Struthio camelus: one gene and its partners. The protein of the gene in region 4 purifies or fractionates together with the protein of the main gene of each other region. This does not show direct contact. Links are inferred from orthologs where the notes say so. Each region holds a gene or a part of one and is shown on either strand. Other genes may lie near its edges. The genes, in order: UTRN, SNTB1, SNTB2 and ADRA1D.

The links.
Region 1: the proteins of ADRA1D (region 4) and UTRN purify together in Homo sapiens (tandem affinity purification; 4 studies listed by BioGRID and IntAct, with this or other methods). This does not show direct contact. The link is inferred for Struthio camelus from reciprocal best matches to the Homo sapiens genes ADRA1D and UTRN.
Region 2: the proteins of ADRA1D (region 4) and SNTB1 purify together in Homo sapiens (tandem affinity purification; 4 studies listed by BioGRID and IntAct, with this or other methods). This does not show direct contact. The link is inferred for Struthio camelus from reciprocal best matches to the Homo sapiens genes ADRA1D and SNTB1.
Region 3: the proteins of ADRA1D (region 4) and SNTB2 purify together in Homo sapiens (tandem affinity purification; 4 studies listed by BioGRID and IntAct, with this or other methods). This does not show direct contact. The link is inferred for Struthio camelus from reciprocal best matches to the Homo sapiens genes ADRA1D and SNTB2.

The regions. Positions count from the first base shown.
Region 1 is NC_090944.1:84,645,730-84,652,846, forward strand, and holds the start of UTRN (utrophin), read right to left. Parts: upstream 3,018-7,117; 5' UTR 2,976-3,017; coding exon 2,882-2,975; intron 1-2,881.
Region 2 is NC_090943.1:159,111,245-159,118,701, forward strand, and holds the start of SNTB1 (beta-1-syntrophin), read right to left. Parts: upstream 3,011-7,457; 5' UTR 2,926-3,010; coding exon 2,382-2,925; intron 1-2,381. UniProt on the Homo sapiens protein: Adapter protein that binds to and probably organizes the subcellular localization of a variety of membrane proteins. May link various receptors to the actin cytoskeleton and the dystrophin glycoprotein complex.
Region 3 is NC_090951.1:1,656,828-1,664,598, forward strand, and holds the start of SNTB2 (beta-2-syntrophin), read right to left. Parts: upstream 3,015-7,771; 5' UTR 2,994-3,014; coding exon 2,534-2,993; intron 1-2,533. Other genes in the region: UTP4 (U3 small nucleolar RNA-associated protein 4 homolog), read right to left, coding at 7,083-7,199, 7,731-7,771. UniProt on the Homo sapiens protein: Adapter protein that binds to and probably organizes the subcellular localization of a variety of membrane proteins. May link various receptors to the actin cytoskeleton and the dystrophin glycoprotein complex.
Region 4 is NC_090945.1:83,656,394-83,664,095, reverse strand, and holds the start of ADRA1D (alpha-1D adrenergic receptor), read right to left. Parts: upstream 3,007-7,702; 5' UTR 2,868-3,006; coding exon 1,901-2,867; intron 1-1,900. UniProt on the Homo sapiens protein: This alpha-adrenergic receptor mediates its effect through the influx of extracellular calcium.

The DNA of each region.
Region 1 (7,117 bases), on a different chromosome or scaffold from region 4:
GCTCTACTAAGCAAATCAGCCGACTCAGGGCTTCACAATTGCTTACAAGAACACAAACAATATATTTATTTTTATAATAGCTTTTTGCCTCATGACAAAATAACTCCAACCTGCTTTCACTGCATATATCTTGTGGGAACAGATAAATTACTTCCCACCTGAAAGGAAGTTTTTAATTTATAGTCTAATGTTCCTGGTATTTCCAAAGCAAGGCTATCTGAGCTAGAAGGAAATGCTAATACAAGCTAAATGCACAAATTCAAAAGAGACGTTGTTAAAATATTAGTTTGCAAAATGCCTCATGTCACTATCATTATTTCCTATTGCTATAAAAAATAGCAATAATTTTAATCAATTGAGAGGGGAATTTTGTACAATAATCTGCTTGCAATACAATGTGAATTGCTTTGTTTTGCTTCTGCTGAAAATTACGTGAAAAATTAGCAAAATAAATAAGCAGTGGTATACTGCTAAGATGCCAACAAAGATTATTCGATTACCGTAGAGCGCCTAATTGGCTTCAAGAGTTGGCATTTTATAGAAACAGTGCTGTAAGGGCAGCCCCTTTCAGAAGGTTTCATATAACTGACATCTTTTTCTAGTCCCTTAAAGCACGGTAAGGAACATCCCCTCAAGCGACATGGTGACATCCATCTGAACAATCAGGCAATTAAGGGAGAAAGAAATCAAAAAAAAGAAAAGCACACACACAAATCAAGTCAAATACTGCTATGCTTGCTATGCTGGAAAGGTTTTGCCTGGAAGAACAGAGTCATTCCCACAGCATGGGAGTGCCCTCAAAAAGCAGATCATAGTCCTACAGTTTATGATAAGTTAGGAACATTATAATGCAGGGAATTTCATAGAAAAACCCTGCCACTTGCTTAAAAGCACTTCTATTGTGGCTGATATATTGCAATCTTTTTTTTCTAAACAGAGAGCTCTCAGCTCAGAGAGAATTAAACAGGACTTAAGAATTGGCCATTAAGTGCTATCTGCACATGCATATAAAGCACTTGAACAAGCAAGTAGCTGCAACTTACCTAGGAAAATTTATATATTAGCCTGGCCCCAATTTTAACAGGCACCCTTACAATAAATCATCCACACACAAACAAATATCACAGCCTTAGCTGTGTACACCCACTGACACTTACCTACTAGAAATACCTGAAGGACTGAAAAGGAAAGGCTCAGAAGGATACACCTCCTGTTATTCCACAGACAAACTTTTTAAAGGTTTCACAACCCTAATGTTCATCAATTAATTGTATGGTTGGTTAAAACACTTACTTTCCTCTCCCAAGATTAAGTTCCCCTAAAAAACAAACTTCTACAAAAGAAGAAGAAAATCCCAGAAATAGTTCTCAAAAAGAAACAACATACACCACAGATCAAATGTTTCTTCTGAACATGTGCCCAGGTTAAAAACAAAAATAGAAAATAACACACAAAAAAAAGCATACTGACATTTTCCTAGTTCCAACCTTCTAAAAAGAGAGTCAACTAAAATAAGTTGCATCTCACCAGCAGGCTGAACGCATGCTAGAGATTCTGAACAACATCAAATGGCTCTCTGACCTGTACTTTTAGTGAAAACTGCAAACTCATTGACAAAAGCAAATCCATTAATGGTAATGAGTTTTCTTGACATTTTTCTCAACTTTAACCGTTTGGATTGGCCCTTAAAGGAAAAGTTTCTGATCTTATATAAACTGGCATATCTCCAAATCCACCTCAGCGTTACCAGAAGCAAGCATAAGTAAGACTAGAGTCTCAGCGCATCATTTTGTTCTATTTAAAATTAGTAATTCTGCTTCTAAGGCTTAAGTGAATTGTTGTCTTGCTCTATAAACCTATACTCAGACTATAGCTTTTTCAAAAAAAAAAATAATAATAATAAATCTACTGATCAGTAGGTTCTGCATCAATGAAGCCCTGACACCAATTCACAAAATAATCAGTCCCTATTTGTCAATTACTGTGTCTCTAAGGCATATTCACAAGTATTCAGAATCTTCAAATCCTGTTCATCATGCCAATCTAGCTTATCTGGCCCTGGCCATCATGAAGCAGATGAATATTGAGCCCATGAAATTTCAACCAGGGTGAGTAGGAAGGGACGGAATGAAGAAAAGGAAAGAGAAACATTCCCAATTTCTTCTTCCTCAAAGCCCCACAAAAATTCTTTCCAAATTACAGGAAATATTGCTCCCAGGACATTCCAAACTTAGAACAGATACACACACACACACACACACACACACACACCCCTCCTTTCCCCAGTTTTGACTCAAAAGAAAAATCCCACCATGATCATATGCTGTACTGTAAGGGGGGCTGGAACTGTTATAAGTATGTACATCCAACAGTCTCAGGAAGTATAGTAAGCAGAACTGCAGAGAATAAATACAATTAAATATTGAAATCACTGACGTGATGTACAGTTTCAGAGAAGTAGGGACATTAAGGCTTCCAATGCTGTCATATCATGTTTCCATTGTTTAAGAACCTATTCTTAGAAAGGGAGAAAAAAATGAAGAAGTAGGCAGAATCACTGTGGAGGAAAAAAAATAATACCCTTTATGTAAAAAGGAAACCCACGACAAAAGCACTACCAAGTGCCTCTTGTAGATGTTAAACAGCCACAATTAGTACAGAGCTCGCAATGGAGGAGTGCCACAAAAAACAGACTGCAAACGGTCTCTCCTTCGGACTGTTTCTTACCACGTCTTTGACAACCTGTTGCTATTAGGTTCGGCAAACTTGAATCAAGTTAATAAAAGCAGTTTGCATCAGGTATAGAAGACAAAAACAGACGCACATGGTTAGATCCCTTTATCCATCATAGCCTTGAAAACATATTTAAACATGCACTCACCCGGTGGAGGATAACAAGTCTGTGTGACAGTATTCCAAGGCATAGCAAGCTTGTGCTTTTTCCATACAGCTTTTTTGGCTGTTTGAACATTCATGACCAAGCTTACTGTTCAGAAACAGGAAAATGAAGATGTAGAGGAAGTACACACTAATACCCACACAAGAAGTGCATGCTGGGATTTGAGGGGGAGGGAAGCATTGGTTTTCCTCAGAGAGTTTGACATATTCAGCCATAGAGTGACTGACAAACCAGTCAGGAAACAAACTTTTTACAGTTAAAGACTGTAAATAAACAACAATAGACTTAAGGCTAATTAACAGTTTCAAAAAAAAAAAAAGAAAAGAAAGAAAAATGCACAGATGACTATTTCACTTCGCTTTCTCCATCTTTATGAAAATTGAGTGCTTCTAGGCTTTCAAAGCATTCACAAGTTTCTATGTACAGAAAGTAGGAAATACATTAGCAATTTTCCTGTGCATTTAACAGTAACTCTGCAAAAAGCTTATAATATTACTGCAACACTTTTTCTACGCATTTGACAGAACATCAATCCTGGTAAGTATCCACATCTTTTACTGGTATTTTAACAAAGCACATGGAAATTGTAATGCAAGGTTTCAGCACAAAAAGCAAGATCTGCAGATAAACCTCTATGCCAATGCAACAGTTACAAACTCTGATTCGGTATGCAATTTCCATTGTGCAGTAATTGCAAACAAAACATGCCACAGTACAGTAAGGCAGAAGCTGCATAATGTAAGGGTATGTCAGTTATTTTAGAAGAAGGCCTTTAAACTTCTTTGACCATGATGACAGAAGGCAAAACCAATCCCTCCCCCTTCAATATCCTGTTGTCAACTTTAGAATCAAATTGAGATTTTTTTTAATCCTGTAGTTGTGAAGTGTATGCGATTCAAAATGATCCATTTTAGGATATTAAACTGTATAGATTTCCACTAGTCACAAAAAAAGTAATGCAAGGCAGGAATAAAAATAACATGGAAGTACAAGCATTACAACCAGAGAAGAGTTACATATAGAATTTTTTCAAAAGCAGTAAGACAGGGATGCTATTTGGTTTATCTGTGTTGGCGCACTGTGTTGTAAGGCAACTGTTCTAAATTCTGCTTTTATCTCTTTATGCATATTCAGCTGGGAAAGTTTACTGTGTCACATACCAGATAGACACTGAGGGCAAGGTTGGGGGGGGTGGGGGAGGGGGGAAGAGCTCAAGATAAGATTTTTCTTTTAACCCCTTTCGGTTAGTTGGTCTTACTTTGGATTTTTCTATTTTAACAATTCTTCATAGTTGAAGCCTGAAACATTTGCACAAAAGCGTCTTGTTTCCATGAATAAAGACAGCCATACATACACAGGGCTAAACCAGACATTTGTATCCAAACTTTTCTGTGGCCTGTACAACAAACGAGCAATAGGGAAGGGAAATAAAATATTAAAACCAGGATTCACATAAAGATATTTATGAACAAGCAACAATGATGTATTTTGCAATGGCAAATACAAATCCAAACCTTGTTGGTTCAAGCAATTTACAAGCACACAACAAAAAGATGTTGCCAATTCTAGGGAATATAGAATCAAAATTAGCAGGAGGTCAGGTACATATGCTAAACATTATAAACAGCACCTAAACTCTTTCTTCAGGTCCTAATGAGACTGATTTGCGTTCCTTAAGAGACAGCCCTTCCGCTGATCCAACGTTTCATCTCACCTACCGCACATAGCCCTTGCCTACTGAACAATAAGCCCCATACACAAACACATTAAGACTCTGCTCATCGGATACTTGCCAAGACTAAAGGTTATGTTGTTTAAGTTTCAGGAATTAATTGTTTTGGTACAACACTTTCACCCTTTCCATTCCTTAATAAAGGATGGTGCAGTCAGTAAGAGAAGTTAGAGCAACACTGAGTACCCCTCTGAGCCTTCATTACTCCTGGAATTTCAGTATTAAGGCATGGGGGGGCAGGGAGGGGATGAGGGGAAAACGTTAATTCACCAGAGAGCTTTCACAGAACCTGAACTCTTGAGTTTTTCTTACCAGCAGTAATTCGATAGCACATCTTAGTGAAACTGGTTTCATCCAACACCAAGTTTTACTTCAAAAATCCAACACTTTAATAATAATATACATTGAGAACATTTACTGCTTTATGAAAGATTTTTTTTGAACAAAATAAATTTCTTATTCAGATAGAGGCAGAATTATGGGTATAAGTTAGTTTCACATCAGAACTCATCCATAAAGAAGTTAGCTTTAGAATGGCAGAAATATTTTTTAATAGTGAGGCTTGGGCCTCTGCCATAATCTAATGTATTGGATGTGAAACCCATGTGTTAACCACAAGAACTGATAAGCAAGAGAGAAGTGGTAGCCATGGGGAAAGTAATCCTAGAAGAAGGCAAAAGAGGATTTTCAGTTTTTTAAACAAATGCAAGAGTTCAACATACCATCCATAAAACACTTCATTCATTAGGGGAAGACGGTCTCATTCCTACCACTACTGAATTCAATAGGCGATTTATTTAGCAGCTCTCTGTCTAGAGTATGTGCTTTCTTTTATTCACTCTGGTGTTGACAGCAGTAATGAAATTTTGTACATACCACTGCCTCTATTATAGCTCAACAGCAACTGGCTGCCTGCCCTAGCCTTCTTACCGTCATGTAAGATAAAAAGACCAGCCAAACAGACCAGCTGAAACTACAGTGGAAAAATAAAAGTAGAGTGAAGGCTGAGTAAAAGCCTAGTGAGCAGAAATCATATGTTTTAATATTCACCTGCATACTACAAAGCATGGAGAAGAACAAGGCTAGGGCCAACACAAAACAAAAGTCACTTCAAGTTTTCAGAAGGACTGCAGCTTAAATGGCACCTCAGTTCTTCTAGAAGAACCTGAATTATAAACTTAATACATGAAAACATCATATATCAATAGCTCAGATCATAAAATAGGGAATAGGAAAGTGAGAAAAAGTAGAGGAAAAACAGAAAAACGATTGCATCTGGTCATTTGAAGGTGAGTTCATAAACACATAAGATCACTTCTCTATCCTGGTCCCAGCAGACACGAAGTCAGCACCAGGTCCAAAACGAAATTAAGTTCACAGTTGCAAACAATAATGGGAGTGGAAGGCAACATCCTTTAATTATAAAATCCTCTGTAAACAATACAGTGTTGAATACGATTGGTTTCCATCTCTTCTTTGCTTTCTGGTCCTGGGAGCTTTCCAAGTCCCTTTAATGCCTTGACTCAGTGAAGAGGAAATTGGCTACTTTTTCACCGCCTCCCTTCTTGTAGCCTCATTCCAAGTAGGCCTGGGTTAACCCTTCTCTGAACTTCTACCCATCCAGACAAGTCTGCAAAGAAAGGCTTGTTTTACCGAGGAAGAAAACAAACAAAAAAAAATGTATAAGATTTCTTATAGGAGAAGAACAAGTAGATGTAGAGTTCCTCCATAACCTTCCTCCCCTGTTCGTCATGCTAAAGCCAAGGACTTGTTCCTTCCTAGAGAAGGAGCATGCTCTTCTGCAAGGTTTTTATACTACCTCTCTAGGCCTCCACTTTATAACACTGCTATAATGAGCTTCTAGTTAAGCATTTCTCATGCTGTGTGATATTAATAACCCATAATTTTATTCACAAGGTTTTATTTCACCACAACAACATGACAAGATTTTTTTCACTGGCCCAACAAACACGTTTTGAATTAGCAGATCAAACAATTCTGGAACTTCAGTAAGCAAATAAAAGAGCTTAGAGGACAATGTTAAAGAGAAGGATGCTGAAAAGGCAGCGACAGGAACTGAAACAGAAAGTAATGTTTCAAGTGCCTGTCTAATTTTGGTGGAAATTGGTAATTAATTCAACCCCCTACTCCCAGAAAACCCAGAGCAGCAACAACTTTGGATGGATAACAAAGAACTTCTAGCATCTCTTTCGAAACCTTCTTTCACACAGCAGGTTTGTGTCAGCATGAAACATTCTTTTGAAAAGTGAATTAACAGTATAGTAATAGTTAAGCCTTTGCTACTGTGGGGTGGAGTGGGGGGGAGAAGAACACACATTGTTTCAAGTATTACAGCTATTAGAGCTCTATGGATAACATACAAATATCATCTTAATGCTTGCACAAAAGGCTCAGCATGCAAAGAGTTTTAGTAATACTGTGCTCGACAGATTTGGTTCTATTAAAATAGCACCTATGTGGCTGTG
Region 2 (7,457 bases), on a different chromosome or scaffold from region 4:
GCTCTCCCTCCTATATTTTAAAGGAAAAAAAAAACTTTTGCTTTTCCTTCCTTTTGTAATAAAAAGACCATTTTACACCATTACTGAAGAAAGAGCTTCAAAGTGGGAAATTGAATCTCAGACAATTGTTTTAAACCGCCTGTTTACACAAGCCATTCATGTAGAGAGATTCCCTGCTGAACTGAATAGCATCTCCTGGGGCAACACCTTGGACAATTCTGATTTTGGTTACACTGCTAAAATAGCAGGAGAAAGCCAGGAAAAATAGACAGTACAGTGTCAGAATATTTTAACTACACAGAAGGATGACTACTGAAATTGCTCTGGATCTACAAATTAACAATTCCGACAACTGTACTGCAGAAACAATCACTGAAGCACATCAGCCTACACCTCCACAGAGCAAAGAAATCCAAGAAAACAGCTGCATGGTAAAAGCAGCGGAGATAAGGAGGGTGCTAAGAGCCCGTGCTGAAACTACCTGATCTTCGCTCCTACAGGGAACAAAACCGAGCCTTTTAAAAGACTTGTACAGCAGCAGTGTGTTCAGGTGGTGTTACTGCATGCGCTTCACAGGAGAGAGTTTTGTAAGCAGTATATACATTACTCACTAGATCACAGCAAAGGTCAGCTTCTGTCTGGCCTGCACCCTAGGAAGTCCTTATGTTGTGTAAACAAATCAAGGAAAAAATGTAGATGAAATAGTCCCAATTCAGAGCTTAGAGAGAACTTTACATTGAGACGTTGCAGGTATCTCCGTAAGTGGTTTTGCTGAAGAAGAAACGCAGCTGGGTTATACCCAAGAGAACAAGGAGGCAATGGTCCACAGCACGTGAAAACCCTCTGGGGTAACACCTCCTTTGCAGTTTTCACAGTAATGTGGACAACATCAAATAGTTTCTCAATAAACACGGCTGTAGACCCAAGCAAAACTGTCTCTGTTGCCCTTGCTTTAGTGCACAGAACCTGTTCTTGAGCTTTGTGCCTAACTTCATGCTGGAGCTGGTTGTTCACAGCTAATCCTCAAGTGTGTTTCCATTACCTGCAGTGACGCTTCCCTTTGCTCCTCAGGATAAGAGCAAAAGATCCTCGGTGCCCCAAGAGACAAAACCATGTGGTACCCAAAGGGCTGCGGGAATGATCAGCCAGCAGGGCCTGCGGCCCAGAGGGAAGGCAGCTGGCACAGGGCAAGGCACAGCAGCGTGTCCCAGTGCCAGCCACTTCTGGGGCAATGAACTTTGGGCAAAGATGTAATCGCTTTCTCAAACACGCGCCAAGGGCATTTTTGAAGCTGTACATTCTCGGAGGTCTAGCAACTAAATTAATCCTTGTGAAAAGACAACGATTAAAAGCATGTGAACGCGTCTCTCTCCATGAACTCGGTGTCCTGGGGAACCTTGTGCTCGTTGTGACCACTCCGGTCCCCGGCATCTGTGCTTGGGGGACACCCTCCCTCCTACGCGTACCACAACTGTGCTCTGGGCTCGCTTCCTGAAGCTGCTTCTTACAAAACTCTCCCTGCCACCCTGCAGGAGAGTGAAACGAAACCCTCCGCTTTGCAGGGATGCGGCACGCTCGCACCGCGGGCCCTCAGCACGGGAGCCGACCCGGCGGGGAGCCGCAGCCCCGCACAGACAGGGCAGCCTGGGGGCTCCACCGTCCTGCACGGACGGGGCGGCCCGGGGGCTCTGCACGGACGGGGCGGCCTGGGGGCTCTGCCATCCCGCACGGACGGGGCGGCCCGGGGGCTCTGCACGGACGTGGCAGCCTGGGGGCTCTGCCATCCCGCACGGACGGGGCAGCCCGGGGGCTCTGCACGGACGGGGCGGCCCGGGGGCTCTGCACGGACGGGGCAGCCTGGGGGCTCCGCCATCCCGCACGGACGGGGCGGCCCGGGGGCTCCGCACAGACGGGGCGGCCTGGGGGCTCTGCCATCCCGCACGGACGGGTCAGCCCGGGGGCTCCGCACGGACGGGGCGGCCTGGGGGCTCCGCCGTCCCGCACGGACGGGTCAGCCCGGGGGCTCCGCCGTCCCGCACGGACGGGGCGGCCTGGGGGCTCCGCCGTCCCGCACGGACGGGGCACGTCGCCAGCCGTCTGGAGGACGAGGGCTAACGCCCGGGTGCCCGGCGGGGCAGGGAGCTCCTCTAAACGAGGGGCTAAACGCTGAACACGCGTCGTCGGGGATCCCCGCGCAGCTCGGGGGCGCAGGGCAGGGAAAATAAACTCCCGCCGCGGGAACGACACCCGAAGGAGAAGAAGCGGCCCTGCGCCGGGAGGCATCTCCGCCCCCCCCCCCACCCCCGACCCGCTCGGCTCCACCACCCCTTGAGCAGCTGCCCCCCGGGGAGGGGGGGCAGGCGAGGCTGCCCGGCCCCTACCTTCCAGCAGCACCTCCTTGCCGGCCCGCTTGAGCGCCTGCACCGCCTCGTCGTGGGTGGCATCACGCAGGTCGGTGCCGTTGACGGCCAGGATGGCATCCCCCACGTAGAGGGCCTGGGTCTGGTCGGCCGCCAGCCCCTTGAAGATCTTGCTGATGAGGATGGGCATCTTGTTCTCCTTGCCCCCCTTGATGCTGATGCCCAGCCCGCCCAGCTCCTGCTTCAGCACCTTCACGCACCGCTTCTTGTTGGAGACGGCCTCGGGCACCTGCTCGGGGGGGTCGGTGAAGGCGGTGCGCACCGCCCCGCCGCCGCCCTCGGCCCCGCGGCTCCCCGCCGCCGCCGCCGCCGCCCCATCGCCGCCCAGGCCGTTGTGCGCCGCGCCGTCGGGGCGCTCCTCGCCGCTCAGCACCAGCGCCTCGCCGCCCAAGTTGGCCAGCACTTTGTGCCAACGCTCCCGCACCAAAACTTCCAGCCAGCCGCTGCGCTGCCCCCGCCCGCCGCTGCCGCCGCCGCCCGCTGCCGCCGCTATCGCTACCGCCATCTTTGGAGCATGCTGGAAACGGCGAGCCACGGCGGCCCCGGCGCGGCCCCGGCGCACCGGACTTCACCCGCGGGGCGGCGGGCGCGCTCCCTCCCCGCGGCGGCGGCGGCGGCGGCCGAGCGGGGCGGAGCGGGGCGGAGCGGGGCGGAGCGGGGCGGAGCGGGGCGGAGCGGCCGCCCCCTCGGGCCGCACCGCCCGCCCCCGCCGCCGCCGCCGCCGCCGCGCGGGTGCGTGTCAGCGTGGGAGCAGCCCGCCCGAGGTGGCCAAGGCTACGTCCGAACAACCGGGTGGGCTGCCGCTTCCCAGCCGGGCCCACTGATAAAAGCAATCGCCGAAGTACTCACGGTCCCCGTCTCCCGACTCGGGAAGAAGGGAAAACGCAGATTACCCCGTTCTTTACTCTTTTCTATAACGGGTGGCTCTCCTCGGGTGGAGCCTGCCATCATACACCGCTGGAGGGACCTCCTGAGAGACAGTTAGCAGCTCGCCTTCTGAGTTAAGGGCATGGAGCCGTGAGGGAAAATAAATCAATGAGGATCTGCGGGTATTGGCAGAAGAGGTTTAGCTAAAACGTGAGTTTGTTTTCCCCTGTGTGAAGGAGAAAAAGAGAGGCCTCTCTTTAAAATAGGTGGATTGAAACACATAGGTGGCACAAATATCCTCTAAATTTCAGTTGTATCAAAGTAGAATGAAAGCTGTGGCAGTATCCCTCAAGGATGAAGGTAGTGAATGACAAAGTCAATGGGAGCTGCACAGTTCATCCTACCCCAACCGCCCCCCCCCCCAAGCATCACTCCCGCACTCGTTGAACGGTGTAGGATGAAGGTAGTGAATGACTGTCAGGGATGCTTTTGTACGTTTTGAGGCTGTTTTCTTCACCCTTTCATGACCAGGTTTTAGGGCCTGAGAAGGCTGTGTTTCCCTCTTCGCAGACCCGCGTTTCCCATCCTCCTGGGAAGCAGTTCAGGTGCCGGTGCAGGCCTCAGGGCTCCAACTCGGGCGCAAAGGAGGACAACACTGCCGCACTGAGGACCTGGACCAGCCCTGGCGTCGCTGGCTCTGTGGCGGTGCCACTCTGTGGTCCCTGCATAGCTCCTGAACTGCCCTTTCGGTGGCCTGGCTCCCGCTTCGTTCATGAGCTGGATTGAACCGCGCAACAGCTCTGGACTGTTCAGTGTGTGTGGGAGCAACGCTTTGGGGGATTTGGGCGTGTGGTGCACAGTGAGCGGGAGGTACAGCTCCCATTAATATTAATTCCCCTTAACGTGCTCCTCAGAGCACGCGGGGCCTGAAGTGCAGCATCTTGCTCCTCTCTAGAGCAGTGCCGTTCACTTCTGACGCTGCAGTTTTGCTTCTGGGTAGGCTCTGGGTACACTTCTGGGTACGCTGCTCTCAGGTTAACGGGCTGAGCAAAGGATCTGCATACTGGCTATTCCCCTCGTGATCGTGCCTCGATTTAGCAGGGTCTGTAGGACCACAAAAAATGCGTTCCCTTCCCAGCAAAAGCCGGTGGAAGGGGGCCCCTGTCCTTCATCGGCAGCCTGTGGTGCCTCCTCCCCTGGCAGGAATGCAAACCGGGGTGGAAGGAGAGCGCTAACCCACAGGCCGTGGGTTATTCAAGGATAGCAGGTGGGTGGAGAAAGCAGACCGTAGACAGGTTTCTTAATTTCTCACGTTAATTAATGCAAGGTAGAAAAGCTATAATTAAGTATTCAGGGCTGTGAATCCAGAGTGTCCCACTAAACCTGAATAAGATGTCTAAGCCCTAAGAAAGGAATAGGGTGTAACACACCCTGTTCTCCAGTATTTCCTGCTAGCTAATTTAGGTAGCTCCTGTGCAGCATCCTGGGTGGTTTTTTTAAATCCCATTCCAAAAGGTGCCAGGCTTAGAGAATTAATGTGCTTATTGGGTTCCAGCAGCTTCAGTTACTTGAGAGCAAGGATGAGGAGAAAAGGAAAGGCGTGCAAAAATTAGGTGTTGCAGTGCGGACTATCACAGCACTCAAATTGCTCTGCAGCTGTAAGTGACCAGGCCAAGTTACAAAATCAGGCATTTCTGTTTCTCAAGGGATTAGCTCTTACCCATTATTTCATATTCTTTCCTATGTATTACTAAAGAATCAATGCTACTGCTAATGGAGATGTGTCTCTATGTATTTTTTAAAGTCATTCCAGAAAATTTACAAGAAAAAATGATTTCTGTCCTGTCATTAAAAAGTAATGCAGAATGGAAAGGAAATTCTTAATGCTTCGCACTTTTCCATCAGTATACGATGCAGCTGGCCCGTGTTTGCTCAGAGTGAATGGTTTTCCTGTGGAGTTCCCGTGGAACAGTGTTGTATAGACAATTCACTGCATGTCACTGAGAACTGTGCTTGTTCCAGCTATTTTCCTTTCCCACTCCAGCAGAGATAAATAATAACGTTTCCCAGTGCCAGCACCTGAGGTGTTAGTGCCTCATATGAAAGAGTCTTTATAGCAATCTTCGTTGCCTCCTCCTCCCCCTTCATCCCCACCTTGGAACTGTAAGAAAATAGAGGTAATATTGTAGTTTTAAAAATATAAGTAAAAAGAAGATAGTGGAAGGGATGCTAAGGTACAGTCACAAGGCAAACAGTCTCCTGGGTTGTCTCGCAGCCTGGAGACAGGCTGCAGTCATTGATACCTCAAGTCTTTGCTTCTCTGTCCCGGGAGGTGCTAGCTCCTATTTGCATGCACCCCAATAGCAACTTGTGGCTGCTGAGTATGGGGAAGGAAGAAAAGGCGTGATGAGACTTCTCCCCTCGATCCCAGCCAACATTACCGTCCTTGACCCTGCCTCAGGTCTGTAAATCACATCTAGAAGAGCAGCTTCTGAAATGCAGGTTAATATAACAGGAGCAGGCGCAAAAGATAAAAACAGATTTGTACACAGGTGTATAGCTATTGAGTAGTCAGGTTAGCAACAGAGAAAACTGCTACTGCAAAGTCCAGTGCTGGTCCCCAATGGTTTTTAGGGCACGACAGGGTGCAAACTCTTAGTCTCAGCCAAAACTTCTCCTCCTGGTGATGTATGTGACATAAACCATAATAACCCCACTGCAATAGGAGTGTTCAGGGTAGTCGTGACAATTTGCGAGGAAGCCGAGGTGTTAGGTGGGATGAGCAGAGGGCTCAGTACCTTCCCTGCTCCAGCCTCGAGTGTCTAGAAAGGCTTCCAGTGCAGGCACAGCTTAGAAAAAGTTGCTCTAGATGACCTGCCCTTTTGAAAGCGTCTACCACAACAAGCGTACCCTTTCAAACAAGTCAATCATCTGTTACCATTTATATTTTAGGAGCACACAAAAGCCTGAACTAGATCACGGCCCCTTTCATTCATGTAATATAAACAAATTATTAAGCCAGATAATGCTAATAGCTGCTGCTGAATCGATCTTTGGTCTACGGACACCTGGGTGTTCATTTAAGGCCAATGGGCTAGGCGGAAGAAGTATCAGCAAAGTGGAAGAAGAGAGGCAGTTGGAAAACACAGAAGCTACCTCCAGTGACAAAGATCACCAAAGTAAATCCAGGTCACAAGCAAAGTGATGGTACCTGAGGAACTCTTTGTTTGCAGAAGCAAGGGGAAGGGCTTAGTAGTTTGTGAGCATGCGAGAATAGAAAATATAGGAAAAGCAATGCAGAAATGGTTGTGACTGTGACACTGAGGAAGTTCTTCAGACACAGCTTTGACTGGAGGGACGTATTGGAGACAGAAATTCAGGCCACTGTCTGCTCTTCTTGTTTTCTCCTGTTTTCAGGCAAAGAGGTCAGTATGCACGTCTTATGTAAACAAACTGACTTTCTGACAGCAAGAACACTGCAAGGCCACATATAGGACTTTTGAGAGACAACTCAAACCCATATAGCGCTGCTGTCCCTCCTTCTTTTGTTGCCAGCCTAGCAACAATTATTCAAAAGCAGTTCATCTGAAATTCTTTTTAACTGGAAACAGGAGGAATGACAAGAGTTCAGACAAAATCAGGCCTGGATAATGACGTTCCCATATTGTTACCCTGACATCAACCAGTACGGCAGACGGTTCTGGACAGGAAGGAAGGACGGCATTGGAAGCCCAGTGCTGGAAGCCTGACAAGTAATGAGAGAGCTGGAAAGGAGTCCAGTTCCTCCAGTGATCCCAAACATTGCAGGAGCCAAGTTTAAGTAAGTCCTGCTGAGGAACATGCCAAAACTATCCCTCCTCACTCCCCCAGGGAAACCACTCCTCTGCGTGCTGGGATGCAGCAGTCCCGGCTCCAGCCATGATGCGGATGTCTCCATTGCACCAGGAGGTGGACCTCTCGCTTGACCTGGGTCATCGCTTGCCCGAGGCATTGCTAGTGGGGGCTTGCACCCTCTTAACCGCTCTGAGCAATCCACCCCTTAGCCTTGAGGGAGCCTGCTGGCTTTCAAGTCAGCGTGCGGCTGTCGTTACTCATTGTCTCTGCTGGGGTTATGAAGATGTCAGGAATGCCTGAAGACCTTCATAATCTAGAGGTTGCATTATGGCTTAT
Region 3 (7,771 bases), on a different chromosome or scaffold from region 4:
AGCAGCCGACCCCCCCGCGCAAACCCTTCCTCTCACGGGCAGCCCGGCGGGCGCTCTCCGGAGACTCCCGTTTCAGCGCGCGCGGAGCACGGCCCCGCCGCACAGAGCGGCATCGCTGCACACGGAAACCCGACGCGAAGGCGCCGCGTTCACCTCTGCGCCGGCCGCAGCTTCTCTGGCCCAGCTTCCCCCAGACGCCAGGCAGCTAGTTTCGCTTCTTAGGCCTCCTCTCGAGAGGAGATGCAACAGCAAAGAGGGGCGGCAGGAGCCAAGCCCGTTGCAAAGGAAAGGGTCACCCCCTCCGCTAGCAGATAATTCACGCTGTCAGCAACTCTTAGCCACAAAATTGCACAATTAATAAAAACAGAAGACTCCAAGAATAGCCGTGGTGCGGGCATGGGAACAACTAACTGCAAGGAAAGCGTTCCCCCGAGGAGCCCGGGCCGTGCTTCACCTCCAGCAGGAGCCGGGTGCTCCGCAGCAGCGGGCGCAGCCGCACGGGGCAGCCGGCCGGCACGCTCCTTCCACCCCGCCTTGCTGGCTTCCCCGCGGCTGCGGGCCTCCGTTTTAAAGCCCGTGGGGTTGTCCCGCTTGGCGGCGGGCAGCCCAAGACCCCCCACCCGGGGTGACGTGATTCCCCTCGCCATGGGGAGCCCACCCGGGGGGGTGTCCTGCCCCTGTCCCCGGCTGGGGCAGGGATGCCGGGGCGGGAGAGGGCGTCCCCGTCCCCTGCTCTGGGCGAGGACACCGCCACCGGGGTGGGATGTCCGTGTCCCCGTCCCCACGGCGGGCAGGGACACCACTGGGAGCCGGCTGGGTCCCGGCACCGGGGACGACCCGTGGGCTGCCCGTGTGCCCGGTCACCGGGATGGGGGGCGTGCAGCACCCCGTAACGGGAGAGCGGATCCCGGGCGGTGTCAGGGACCCCGGTAATGGGACGAGGACACAAGGGGTATCCGGGAAGCTGGTAACAGCGAGGGGGCCGGGAGTCTGGTAGCTGGGACAGGGGAGGGGGCAGGATCCCGGTAACGGGAAAGGGGTAGGAGGGGGGATCCAGGAAGGGGGCAGGACCCCGGTAACGGGAAGGGGGTAGGAGGAGGGGATCCAGGAAGGGGGCAGGACCCCAGTAACGGGAAGGGGGTAGGAGGGGGGATCCAGGAAGGGGGCAGGACCCCAGTAATAGGAAGGGGGCAGGAGGGGGGGATCTGGGAAGGGGGCAGGACCCCAGTAACAGGAAGGGGGTAGGAGGGGGGATCCAGGAAGGGGGCAGGACCCCGGTAACGGGAAGGGGGCAGGAGGGGGGGATCCGGGAAGGGGACAGGAGGGGGGGATCCAGGAAGGGGGCAGGACCCCAGTAACGGGAAGGGGGCAGGAGGGGGGATCCGGGAAGGGGGCAGGACCCCGGTAACGGGAAGGGAAGCCCGGGACGTGCAGGACACCCGATAACCGGGACAGGGGAAGTGCAGGACCGGGGTGAGGGGACAGGGAAGCAGTGCAGGACCCCAGTAACGGGACGTGGCCTGGGGGGCTTGTGGGACACCCGGTAAGCCGGCCGGTAGAGAGGGAGGATCCCAGTAACGGGAAAGAGGGCAGGAGGGGGGGGATCCGGGGATGGGGCAGGACACCCGGTAACCGGGCAGGGGGAGGGGGCAGAATCCCAATAATGGGACCAAGAGGCAGGACACCCGGTAACGGGACAAGGGGGAGGGGGCAGGATCCCAGTAACGGGACAAGGGGGCAGGACACCCAGTAACCGGGCCGGGGGAAAGGGTAGGATCCCAGTAACGGGACAAGGGGGCAGGACACCCGGTAACCGGGCCGGGGGAAGGGGTAGGATCCCAGTAACGGGACAAGGCGGCAGGACACCCGGTAACGGGACAACGGGGGAGGGGGCAGGATCCTAGTAACAGGACAAGGGGGAGGGGGCACCCAGTAACCGGGCTGGGGGAAGGGGCAGGATCCCAGTAACGGGACAACGGGGCAGGACAGCCGGTAACGGGACAAGGGGGAGGGGCAGGATCCCGGTAACGGGACAAGGGGGCAGGACACCCGGTAACGGGACAAGGGGGCAGGACACCCGGTAACGGGACAAGGGGGCAGGACACCCGTAACCGGGACGGGGGAAGGGGCAGGATCCCGGTAACGGGACAAGGGGGCAGGACACCCGGTAACGGGACAAGGGGGCAGGACACCCGGTAACCGGGCCGGGGGAAGGGGCAGGACACCCGGTAACCGGGCCAGAGGAAGGGGCAGGATCCCGGTAACGGGACAAGGGGGCAGGACACCCGGTAACCGGGCCGGGACAAGGGGACAGGACACCCGGTAACGGGACAAGGGGGAGGGGGCACCCGGTAACCGGGCTGGGGGAAGGGGCAGGATCCCGGTAACGGGACAAGGGGGCAGGACACCCGGTAACGGGGCCGGGCCGGGCCAGGCCGGAGGGGCAGGACACCCGGTAACGGGGCCGGGCCGGGCCGGGCCGGAGGGGCAGGACACCCGGTAAGCGGCAGCGGGGGCCGCGACGCGGCGGTACCTTCGAGGACGACCTCCCTCCCGGCGCGCTTCAGCGCCTGCACGGCCTGGTCGTGGGTGGCGTCGCGGAGGTCGACGCCGTTGACGGCGAGGATGGCGTCGCCGAGGCGCAGGGCGCCGCACCGCTCCGCCGCCAGCCCCGGGAAGATGCGGGAGATGAGCACCGGCATGCGGTTCTCGCGGCCGCCCTTGATGCTGATGCCCAGCCCGCCCGCCTCCGCCTTCACCACCCGCACCCGCCGCACGCCCGCCGGCACCGCCGCCGCCGCCGCCTCCGCGCCGCCCCACTCGGCGCCGTTGGCCACGCCGTTCAGCGCCGCCGCCGCCGCCTCGCCGCCGCCGCCCGGCTCCGCCGTGAGGCTCAGCGCCTCGCCGCTCAGCTCCGCCGCCACCCGCACCCAGCGCTCCCGCAGCAGCAGCTCCAGCAGCCCCGCTTTGGAGGCGCGGGTCCACACGGCCATCCCGCCGCCGCCGCCGCCGCCGCCGCCCCGCGCGCTCCCCTCCCCCCCCACACCCCGGGGCGGCGCTCGGCGGCCCCGAGGCCACGCCCCCTCCTCCCGTCGCCCGCATGGCGGGCTCTGATAGGTCGCCCGCCGGCTCGGAGGGGCGGGGTTCGGCTCAGCCCCCCCCCCGCTCTGATTGGGTAAGGCGGAGGGACGGGGCGGGGAGGGGCGGTGGGGCCCCGCCCCCGCGCTCGCCTCAGGCCGCCGCCGCCGCCGCCGCGCTCCTCAGGGCGGGAGCCCGCGGGCGGGCCGCGCCCGAGCCGGCGCCGCCGTCCCCGAAGGGCCACACTGTCCCCAAAGGGCTACTGTCCCCAAAGGGCCACACTGTCCCCAAAGGGCCACACTGTCCCCCAAAAGGCCGGCACTACTGTCCCCAAAGGGTCACACTGTCCCCAAAGGGCCAGCACTACTGTCCCTGAAGGGCCACACTGTCCCCGAAGGGTCACACCATCCCCGAAGGGCCAGCACTACTGTCCCCAAAGGGCCACACTGTCCTCGAAGAGCCACACTGTCCCCCAAAGGGCCGGCACTACTGTCCCCAAAGGGCCACACTGTCCCCAAAGGGCCAGCACTACTGTCCCCAAAGGGTCACACTGTCCCCAAAGGGCCACACTGTCCCCCAAAGGGCCGGCACTACTGTCCCCAAAGGGCCACACCATCCTTGAAGAGCCACACTGTCCCCCAAAGGGCCGGCACTACTGTCCCCGAAGGGCCATGCCATCCCCAAAGGGCCAGCACTACTGTCCCTGAAGGGCTACGCCATCCCCGAAGAGTCACTGTCCCCAAAGGGCCACATTGTCCCCCAAGGGCCAGCACTACTGTCCCCAAAGGGGCCACGCCGTTTCTGAAGGGTCACACCATCCCCAAAGGGCCAGCGCCGCTGTCCCCGAAGGGCCATGCCATCCCTGAAGAGCCACACTGTCCCCAAAGGGTCACACCATCCCCAAAGGGCCAGCACTACCGTCCCCGAAGGGCCACGCCATCCCCAAAGGGCCACGCCATCCCCAAAGGGCCAGTGCCACTGTCCCCAAAGGGTCACATTGTCCCCAAAGGGCCACACCATCCCTCAAGGGCCAGCACTACTGTCCCCAAGGGGCCATGCTGTTTCTGAAGGGCCACACCATCCCCAAAGGGCCAGCGCTGCTGTCCCCGAAGGGCCACACTGTCCCCGAAGGGCCACATCATCCCCAAAGGGCCAGCGCCGCTGTCCCCGAAGGGCCATGCCATCCCTGAAGAGCCACACTGTCCCCAAAGGGCCAGCACTACTGCCCCTGAAGGGCCACGCCATCCCCAAAGGGCCAGTGCCACTGTCCCCAAAGGGTCACATTGTCCCCAAAGGGCCACACCATCCCTCAAGGGCCAGCACTACTGTCCCCAAGGGGCCATGCTGTTTCTGAAGGGCCACACCATCCCCAAAGGGCCAGCGCTGCTGTCCCCGAAGGGCCACACTGTCCCCGAAGGGCCACACCACCCCCAAAGGGCCAGCACTGCTGTCCCCAAAGGGCCACACCACCCCCGAAGGGCCAGCACCACTGTCCCCACAGGGCCACATCATCCCCAAAGGGCCAGCACCGCTGTCCCTCAAGGCCCACACTGTCCCCAAAAGGCCACACCATCCCCAAGGCCAGCACCACTGTCCCCACAACCACACTGTCCCCAGGGCCAGCACCACTGTCCCCAAAGGGCCACGCTGTCCTCAGCTCACACCGTGCCCAAAGGGCCAGGACTGCTGTCCCCAGGGCCACGCTGCCCCGGGCGCAGCCTGCCTTTCCGGCGGCAGGACAGCGGCACGGGGACACCACCAGCCGCCCAGGGCTGGAGCCCCGCGGCCACCCCGGCGCCACCTCGCAGGCCCCGAGGCCGGGGCGAGCTGCTGGCCTGTCCCCGCAGGAGGCAGCGGCTCGGCCGCCGAGACGCCGAGGAGAGGGCGGACGGAGCGCGCCAGCCCTACAGCTCTTCCTGCTTTAGCGAGCGAAGCCAGAGCATTAGGGGGAACTCCGCCAAAGAAATCCTCTCCCCCAGGAAAGCAACTTCCTTCTGCGGGCCAGCGTCCCTGCATCCTGCTCGCGCAACGGCCGATCAAGGAATTACTCGCGCGGGGAGCAAAGATTTCGCAGTCAGACGTTGAGTGGCTGCCGCAACGCACCGGCGCCGGCGAGCTCGGCAGGTTACCAGCACGGGGGCAACGCTCCCGTTACACAACACCCCTATCCCGTCACCTTCATTTACGCCCAGGGTTCGTCAAGCGCTTGGACAGCAGCGCGGCCAGCCTGCCCGCTCGGGGACCCCGGCCGCTGCTGCGCTCGGCTCCCGGGCGCCCGCCGCCCCAGGGCCCTGCCTTGCTGATAGGAGACCAGGGGAGGCCGCTTGGCAGCGTGCGGGGGGAAGATGCACGCGCGAGGGACAGTGGTCGCTGCAGAGTAGCTTCTGCAAGAGAATAAACATCATCCTGAGTCACCGTTTCATAAATCTTCTCTCCCCACAGAAGAGCTTTGCTCGCGTTTCTTTTTTTTTCTACGATACTGAACCGGCAGCTGTTTATTGCCCCCGTTTTTCGGAGCCTGTAGTTTCGCAAGGCTGCAGTGACCAGATCCTCCTCCCCGATCCGTCGGCAGTCCGGCCCCCAGGCTGCTTGCTGTCCAAGGACTGGCCTCGGCCACACGCAGGCAGCGGGGGCAGCCCGGTCAGCGCAAGCCTCGGGGGCGAGACGGACTGCAACGGTGCTTCGTGGGAGGCCTGTCAGCTGGAGGGGAATCTAGCTGGCCGGAATAGGAGACTTTGAAGGAGGGAAGGGAAACGACAGCGCAGCAGCACGGGGCTGGTACCCGTTCCTGAAACGGTAGGGCGAGCATCAGCCTTGTCACAGAGAGGGCAACTGGGCAGGACGGTGCACCCAAACACATACGGCTAAATACCCTTGGCTGCTTCCAGGCCGGGCTTTGCCTCCCTGCAGCAGGAGCTCGGCGTGGAGAACGTCAGCAGCAGCCCTCACTGCGCTCCCGTCCTCCTCCGGAGGCACCGCCAAGCCCCGAGCGCGGGGACAGCCGCCCGACACCGCCGCAGCCCCGGAGAGCCAGCTCTCCTCCCGCGGCTGCGCGTTGCCAGCTCCCCATGCCAAAAGCTTTCCAGCACCCTCCTCCCGATCGAGCCACCCAGATGGGGCGCTCTCCTCTCCTCTCCGCAGCAGGGGCTGGGAAGCAGGAGGGCCAAGCGATGAGGGGAGGTAGCGACAGCAGCGAGGAAAAGTTTGCAAAGCAAGAGCGTGTGCATTCACACCCCGGTCCTGGTGTCCCCTCCCAAGGCCAGGGGCAGGAGAGCTGCTCCACGCACCGGCACGTGGCAGCTCACCCACCGTCAGCCTGCGCCCACCAGCACTGCAAAAACGGCTGTGGCCATGCACGACTACAACGCTAACAAGCCGCTCGGCCCTGCCTCTCCCGTCCGACCCTCTCTCGAGGCAGAGCAGGAGCGCACTGCACAGGCGTCAGGACAGGGCACATGGGGACTGCCCGTCCCTGCCCTGCTGAGCAGGCACTCGGCACCCCTCTGTCCATCCGGAGCCCAGCTCACTAGGCTTCCCGCCTGGCGGGACACGTGAACGTGACTGCTGTTTGAGGGGATGGGAGCCCCCTCTGTCCCACGCAGAGCCACCAGCAGTCACGAAACCCATCTTGCAGCTGCCCGGGACAGCACCAGGAGAGAGAAACCAGCGCCGGGGCCTGACGTTTCCCAGAAGAGCAGCCACAGAGAAGGTAGAAGATCTGGGACGATGCCTAGCCCTCGCAGTCACCAGTCGCTGCCAATGAGCAACCCAGACAGCAGGACAGGCATGACCAGGGGAGTCCTACGAGACAAAGGTGTCCTTGGCTCCTGATTCAGACTCAGGCCAGAGCCAATCTGACCTGCTGCTGCTCAGACAGCAGGGAGCCCCACAGGGCAAGGATGATGCCTGAGCACGCAGCCCTACAGAACAACGGGGTTTATTACTACAACATCCTAGGAAAGTAACATACACAGTTTTTGTGGCTGGAGCAACTTGTTCTGCTCTTAGGTGCCAAATTTCTTCTGTTGGATGGGTGGTGGCAGCTGGGTCTTGATGTCCATGAGGGGCCGCTCCACCATCACAAGGCAGTTCTCATCCAGCAGATCCGCAAAGAGCAGGGGCTGCAGGGCAGGGAGGGGACAGGAGATGACAGCCCTGCCAGGGACAGGGCAATGTCTCTCCTTGCCCTGCCTCAGCTTGCTGGGTTCGACCACGTACGTGGAGCTGGCTGCAAGGCAGCTCTGGCTTAACCTTAACCAGGGACATCGCTTAAGGGACGTGCTCTGCAGAGAGCTGCTGGGGAAAAATCAGAGCCCGCGAGATGGACAGCAAGCGGCTGCACCGTGATGGGGACATAGAGACTCAGAGCTGCTGGGGCACTGAGAGCACATACGACACCAGCAGAGTTGAGGAACAGCTCAGGAAGGCTGCGCTCAGACCATGCCAGGACAGCAGGCATCTTGCTCCAGAAACAGCAAAGGAGGGAGCCTGTGGCAGGATCACCTCTGCACCTGTGGCTCCTTCCAGCTAGCGGGGCATCCTGACAGCATCGCAGCAGCCTCCTTGCTCCCCTGGGCAGACCACAGGTCCAGGGCACCCCCTTCCTCAACACCACCCCTCCTCAGAGACAGCACATGCACAGCAACACCCACCTGGAACTTCTTGCAGATCTTGAAAGCGTGGAGTTGTCTCT
Region 4 (7,702 bases):
AGGACGAAAAGTTGGGAATGAGATTTAGAGCTGGTTCCTACCTTTCTGATGGGCCAAAGAGGCAAGCATTGGGCTGGGGCTCTGTGTCAGAGCCTCATTGCTGTCCACAGAGATCAACCTTCAAATATTTGGCACCTCCATGACTCCCACAATTTCAAGACCCTTTGCAGACTACTAAAAATCCCTTGACATGCCTGAGCATGGCAAGGGAAACTGAGGCACAGCCAGGGTCTTACATCAAGAGAAGCTCATAGCAGCCCTGCTGCTCACTGCCTCAAGTCACACCGCATACTTCCTTGCTCACATATGGTAAAAACCTCTAACAGCAGCAACGGTTTTACTCCTTCAGAAAGCTGAGATACATTCACCAAATGCCATCCTCACCTAGAAAATGAGGCAGAGAGCTCAAAAGCACAGTAGCCATGTGCTGACACCAGACACCCCTCACAGCCTACCTGCCACCTCAGGGAGACCTGAGCTTTCAAGACATCATCAGTCCCAGGGCTGAATTATTCCACCTGAGGGCCATTTCCTAATTGAGTGGCTTCAGTTAGGTGTCTAATGGCCCTGGGCTCCAGCTGTGCCCTGGGGAGAGCTCAGCAGTGCCAGAGGGGAAATTATTCCCTTGGTCACGGTGCTTTGTTTCCATTCACTTGTGAGGAAGCCTTAAGCAAGAAGCTTTGAAAAATCCGGAGAAAAATTGCACATCTGGCTACAACATTTCCCTGGCTGTGGGATTATTCATACACAACTGCTGAGGTCCCAGGAGGGTCCTGGGACACACAGCAGACAGAGCCTCAGCTGGTGTAGCAGACCTCTCTGCTTCTGTGAGCTCTGCACAAAGGCCAGCATTTGGAAGTTATTTTAACTTTTATCCCCCTGGTTCAGCTACATCCCTCCACAGGGTTAACCCGGCCTCCTGAGTTAGGTGTTTTTTTGAAAGAACTTGCCAAAACTTACGGCACAACCCAAAGAGAGAACCCACCAGCAGAGACCCGCTGTCAGGGCTGGGAGAGCTGGGGCAGGACCGGAGGGTGCAACTCACCCGGGAGGAGCAGCAGTTCCCCTTTGCAGTTTGTGGAGCAGGAGCAGTGCTGGGCAATTGCCCAGCGCCGTCATGCCAGTGCAGATAAGACCTGGTCCAGGTCCAGATCCATGCGCGACATCAGCATCCCGGGAAGTTAGCGGAGACAGGGAGGGCAGAGGCCAGGCCCCCACCCGAGCCAGATTGAAAGGGATACTTCCTAGCCAGCCATGCCCTCCTCCTCTGCATGGCATAAACCAAATCCCAAATTGCTGGCTCAGGCTAGCTACATAGTGGAGGCCAGGCACACCTAAACTAACCCTGGCCATGACCCTGGCCATGCCTCTATCTGAAACACTCTCCACCAGAGGAGTTCACTCAGGGGGATCAAGCCTCACTCACTCTCCAACATCATCGGCAGTTCACAGCAGGGATGGGAGCACTGGTCACAGGGAATCAGACCCAGGTGCCCTCCCTCGAACCGGGAGGAAGTGGTGGAGGGAGGCAGAGGCTACAAAGTTGTTTGGAGACGGCTTTGTCATAAGTATAGTCTGTTAGAGACAAATCTGCTTTCTCTCTCCCCAGTCTTAACTTCACTAATTGAAGTGCTGAATAAATGATAAATTAATTAAATCAATGATTACGTTGCTATTTTATTTGGCTGCTATTTATTTTGATTGGTTATATGAACTTGACTAATAAATATCGAATAAGTGCTAATTAATTTAATCAGTCTGTTGCTGTATTGTTCATCTATCTGGTATATATGACTTGACTCCATGCATGAATCGTGTCCTCAAAGTTTGTCCCAAGGAGCAGGTCCCCAGGAGCACAGCCACAGCTAGTGGGGTTGGGATGGGGAAAGGAGTGACTTACCGAAAGGCAGGACAAAGAAGAAGGGGAACCAGCAGAGGATGAAAACGCCCACGACGATGGCGAGAGTCTTGGCTGCTTTTTTCTCACGGGAGAACTTGAGGAGTCGCACAGAGAGGGAGCTCCTGAAGTTGTGCCCCTTGCTCCGGGCACTGGAGAGAGGCTCCTCCAGCACGCTCCGGCAGTGGATGCGCAGCACCACCTCCATGGATTTATTCCTCTCCTTCTTGACCCCCGCCTCCAAGCTCCGGGTGGTCCTCCTGGCCACCACATAGATCCTGAAGTACATCACCAGGATGACCATGAGGGGCAGGTAGAAGGAGAAGAGGGAGGAGAACAAGGCATAACCTGGTTCCTCCGTGATGCTACAGATGCTTTCGTCCGGTGGTGGTGGCTCCTTCCATCCCAGCAGTGGCCCGATGGAGATGACCATGGAGGACAGCCAGACCACCACGAGGATGACCCCTGCCTTCCTCTCTGTCATGATGGTGGGGTACTTGAGGGAATACTTGACACCAATGTACCTGTCCACAGAGATGATGCACAGGCTCATGATGGAGGCGGAGCAGCACAGCACGTCCACAGCTGCCCAGATGTTGCAGAAGATGCGCCCAAACACCCAGAAGCCCAGCACCTCCAGGGTGGCCGAGAAGGGCAGCACCGTGGTGCTGAGCAGCAGGTCGGCGATGGCCAGGTTGACGATGAAGTAGTTGGTGACCGTCTGCAAGTGCCGGTTGCAAGCCACCGAGAGGATGACTAGGATGTTCCCCACGATGGCCGAGAGGATGAAGGCGGCCAGGAACACCCCGACTCCCACCGCCTGCACATCCAAGGTGAAAGTCAGCGTGGTCCCATTGCCGTCGGAGGGGTCCTCGGCTTGCAGCCCCCAGGACTGGTTGGCACCGCTCTGGTTGCCCTGCCCCGTCCGGTTCCCACTCAAGCTGGCATTGCTCGGCTCGGGGAAAGTCATTGTAGAAAAAGTCCGGGCTCCATGGAGGGCGATGCGTCGGCGGCGAAAGCGATGCCGAGGCGCAGCCCCCCCGGCATGATCCCCCGCAGCCCGCTCCGAGTCTCGCTCACCACCTCACCCCCACCACCCACCCCTTGGCAAGGAGAGAAGGAGGGGGAAGGCAGGGTGCCCGGCTCTCCCCCTCCCACCCCCCCCCCGGCGCTCTTCCCCAACCACCCTCCCCACCCACCCCCCTCTCCCCTCGCCCAGCTTCACATCGGGCGGGGGCTGCGCTCCCTCCCTGCCTCCCTCCCGCTGCCGCTCACCCGAGCCTCCTGCCCAGCCGGGGGGGCAGGGAGGAAGGAGCCCCCCCGCCGCCCTTGCATGCTCCGGGGGAGGCCGGGGGCTGCGCTGGGCACCGGCCGGCAGCGCTTGGCGGCTCCGGGCGGCTTCTCCCAGTTGCAAGAGAGAGCTCCGGCAGAGGAGGGGAAGGGGGGGCTGTGGGACGGGCTGGGGGGGGGAGGAGGAGGAGGGAGGGACGGGGTTTGGGGGGGGGGTCAAGAAGCCTTAGCGCATCAGGTGCTGCCGGAGGAGGAAGAAGAGGAGGCGGAGGACGAGGAGGAGGAGGCAACTGCTACTTTGCAAGCAGAGGCGACCCCCCCCTCCCTCCCGAACCCCCCGTCCCCGTCCCCGGCCCGGGCGAGGCTCAGCCGGCCGCGGTGCCAGCGGAGCGCTGCGGGGGAGCCCACGCGGGGAAAGGCAGACACCCACTCGGGGGAGGGCGGGAGCCCCCTGGGCGGAGGGCAAGTGCCCACTCCGGGGAGGGCAAGCGCTGCCTTGGTGGGGGAGGGCGGGGAGAAGGGCAAGCGCCCACCCGCGGCAGCCGGCGCCCACTCGTGGGAGCGGTCGCGCGCGGTCGCGCCGCCCGCCGCCGCCGGGGGGCAGCAGAGGGCAGCGTTTGCCCGCGGCGCGGTGCGGCGGCCCCACGCGCGCTGCCGGCCCCACGCGGGCTGCCGGCCCGGCGGCGCGAATTATCCCACCAGGAGGGATGCCCTGCAAGGCTGGGAAACTCCCCCCCGCCTCCCGCCCCCTCCTCGCCCCCCAGGTCCAGCATGCCACCTGGAGGGATGTTCTCCAAGGCTGGCAAGTTCCCCCTATGTCCCGCTGGCTCACCACGAGAGGTGTCCTGCAAGGCTGGGAAACTCCCCCCAAGGTCCATCTTCCCACCAGGAGAGAGGCTCTACAACGCTGACAAGCTCCCACTGCGTCAGGCTGGAAAACTCCCCCCATCCTTCCGCCCAGGTCCGGCATCCCACCAGGAGGGATGCTCTACAAGGCTGGCAAGTTCCCCCCTCACACCAGTGTCCCACCAAGAAAGATGCCCTGCAAGGCTAGGAAACTCCCCACCCACGTCCAGTGTCCCACACCCTGCGAGGCTGAGCCTCCTTTCTCAGCCAGCGTGCAGGGGCACCATCCTTCCCAGGCCAGCCCTGCGAGTCCTGCCCTGCCGCCTAAGCCGAGGACTCCAGCCCAACCTGCACCCAGGTAGCACCAGACGGGGCTGCAGACGTGGCCTGCCCCTTGTCCCTAGTACAAGTCCCTTGTAAAAGCAGAAGGAAAGACCAGTGCCTTGTGTTCAGGGACAGCCTGTGATCCTCTAGTTCGCTGCTACGACTTAGCCCTGCTGCAAGACTCCGAAACTTGTGATTAAAACATATAGGCGCATATTTCTAGCTAATTTAAACAGGGCCTTTTCCCACTGATAACAGCAGATCCTGTTTACACTGGTTTTCTCCCAGTGACCCTACCCTCCTGCCTCCACACATTGCAATGGGGACTGACCCTGGTGTTGAACAGGGGTTTTTCTTTGGCTCCTTCCTGCCATACACAGGAAATATTTCTTTGGAGTGTGTTTATCCGTGATTTTTCAACTTTTCTGTCTTGAAAAAATTGCTCTAAAAAGCAGTCCAAGTGGACAGCAAGGTGTTTTAACTGTTGCTCTGATAGAGCAGGACCAAGTCTGTTAATTCGCTTGGTGATGTGAGTGGTCAAAAAAAAAAAAAAAAAGAAAAACTTTATGTTTATTTCCTTATTTTCCTTGACAATCATGTCAGGAAATGACACATTTTGATCTTCTTTCTTTCTTATTTCTTTCATGCACTTTTTTTGTCCCTTAGGGGTTCACCCTCCTTCCTAGAGTTGGATTTTTGACCCTGCTGGGAAGAAGAAATGTAGAACAACTAGGAAACACAAGCAAACAGGAACAAATACTGTACGAGGAAAATGTTCAGAAGGCCAGTTTTGTTGTTTGCTTTTTTTTTTTAAATATATTTTTTAAAGTGAATTAAAAAAAAAAACACCAAACACCCAACTTTTGAGGTCGAATTACTCATCTTCCCTATGTTTCGATGAAAACATGTCAGCCAGCAAAATGAAGTATTGTTTCGCACTGGGATGCTAAACTCAGCATGGGATGATCTCAATCCATGGAATTTTGTAGCTGTCTCTTTGCAGCTACACAGATAGCTGTCTAGATAAATATATCTTGTCTAATCTGCCCAGTGACACACAGAGATAAGGAAAACATGTGCCTTGCTCCAAAATTAAGGCTGAGTTGAAGTTCTCTCGTAAAGCAGGATTCAAACCACCTTTTTGATTGGAAAGGAAAGGCTTCTCCTAAATGACGTATCAAACGATGTTAGGGTCAAGAGGGCATCGGCCCCGTGTCTTGTCCTCCCCTCCTCTCCGCTCTCGGGCAGCCAAAGTCACTTTGCCCACGATGCTGAGATGCCTTGGACCGCAGGGCTTGGAAGGGGCACAGGAAAAGCCAGACGAAACCCCATCACTCTGAGGAAGAGAAAAGCTAAGCCACTCAGGATCAATCCTGATGTAAAACTGCCATCTTTGGAGGAAATTTTATCCCTGGTCCAAGCTGAGGAGCTTTATTTCTGAGGCAGGGCATTTTCTTGCTGGGCAGGAGAGGGATGGAGGGGCCCTGCTTGCGGTGCATGAGCGTGGGATGCTCTTGTGTATTTTACCTGCCAGCCGGGGCAGTGTGTCCCGCTCGGTTACTGCGGCTCAGCTAACGAGCATCAGCTCGTTACGGTACAGTTACCCCATTGCTTTCCATCTATTTCCTTGCTTCAGTCTAAACCAGGGCTATTGCAGTTAATTTCAGCTAATGAGGAACAGGTTTATACTAGTGCACTTAAACCAAAATAAAAGGGTCGGTGCAGGTCCGCACGGAGGAACCGAAGCGCCGAAGTGAATGCACACAGATCTGCTAGTGCATGGACCCTTGCCAATCGGCCGGTTTTGAGCTGGGAGGAAGTACAGCTCCTTCCCCCTTTTGACATGTTACAGCTCTTTCCTCCCTCTTTTTCATCCTCTAGCTGGGGATAGAGTTCATCCTAGGACTCGAAATTTCAGGCAAGAGTAGCTCCGTATAGTGGTGTGAATGGGGCTTTTTGAATAAAAGAAAGAGACATAAAGCCAGCAAGCACGTGGTAGTGTTTGTCGCTCGGTAATTACACGCTAAGCCCGAGCCTTGAAAAGGAAAGGCAATTTTGCAGTGCAAAAGACCGCAGCTTAAAATATTTCGATCAAAAATTTGCATATAGCCCAGATTGACAAAAGCCGCAGCCGGGAGAGATCGAGGCTAGATGCTGATGGTGATTGACCTATTTGAGCAACATGGATCAAGTGAGTCCCACCCGCCGGCGCCGGCATCCACCCTGAGCAACCGGCGTCCGCTCTGCCGACTCAGGCGGGTGTATTAACTCACGCTTTCGTTTGTACCCTCTGCTGCGTAAATGGACTCGGTCTATTAAAAGCTATTTCCTTTCCTTGCACACTTGCCTCATTCAGCGGTACACAAGCTTTCAGAGTGCGGCCTCATTTTCCGCCAGCTTGAAAGAAAGCCGTGCAAAGTTGTCTCCCTCTTTCTGGAGGAAGAGCAGGGATATTGAGAGCACAATTCACGTGTTTCAGGGATGGGACGGATTGTGCCCTCGCTGTACCCTTTCTCCAGGAAGATTAGCTCAGGTGCGGATACCTATAGCATCTCCAGGTTCCAGAGCTAGGAGAGACGGATCCTACTCACATTAAATACACACCAGTGCTGAACTGATAACATTGAAGTGATGGTAAAGACAGGCTAGCCTTGCTGGGGGCAGGCAATTCAAAGATCCTCCAGGGAAAGGAGTCTGGCCAAGGCCAGTCTTTGCCGCATGTCCCAGCAGGGCCATGTCCAGCTGGAGGTTATCTCTCCCAGCTCCTATCCCCAGCTGACACCAGGTCTTCAAGCACATTAAAAAAATGAACTGGAAGTGATTGCAAGAGATGAGTCAAACCTGTGCTGCCGGAGGCCCAGCTGTCTTGTAAAACAAAGTAAAACAACAAAAAAAGCAACCCTGAAATTAATGGTTTGTTTGGTTGGCGTTGCTGCAATTTTATTTAAAGCCCAGTAAAATCAGGCTACATTTTAAATGTTTATGTCTTAATTAATGAGGCAAGCAGGATGGGGAAAGGAAATAGCTTTTATTAGCTAACGGAAAAAGGAGGTTAAAAAAAAACAACTGAGACGACCCTCTTGTGACACCTACCTAAAATTACCCAGAAATGTATGGTAAATTGTCATTCCCGTTGGTTTCCCCGTTCCCTTCAACCATCTCAGCCATTATTGCATCAACATGGTTACTGCATTTATCAGTTTTCTTCCATGTATGTGAATGTGTATGCTTAGTTCTTGCTCTGCTTTTCAACTGCTTATGATCCCTTCGAGGTCACCTTCTGCTCTTCCGGTAGGAGACCCATTGGCGGTCCCCGAACCACATGTGGGACAGTGGTGACCTGGT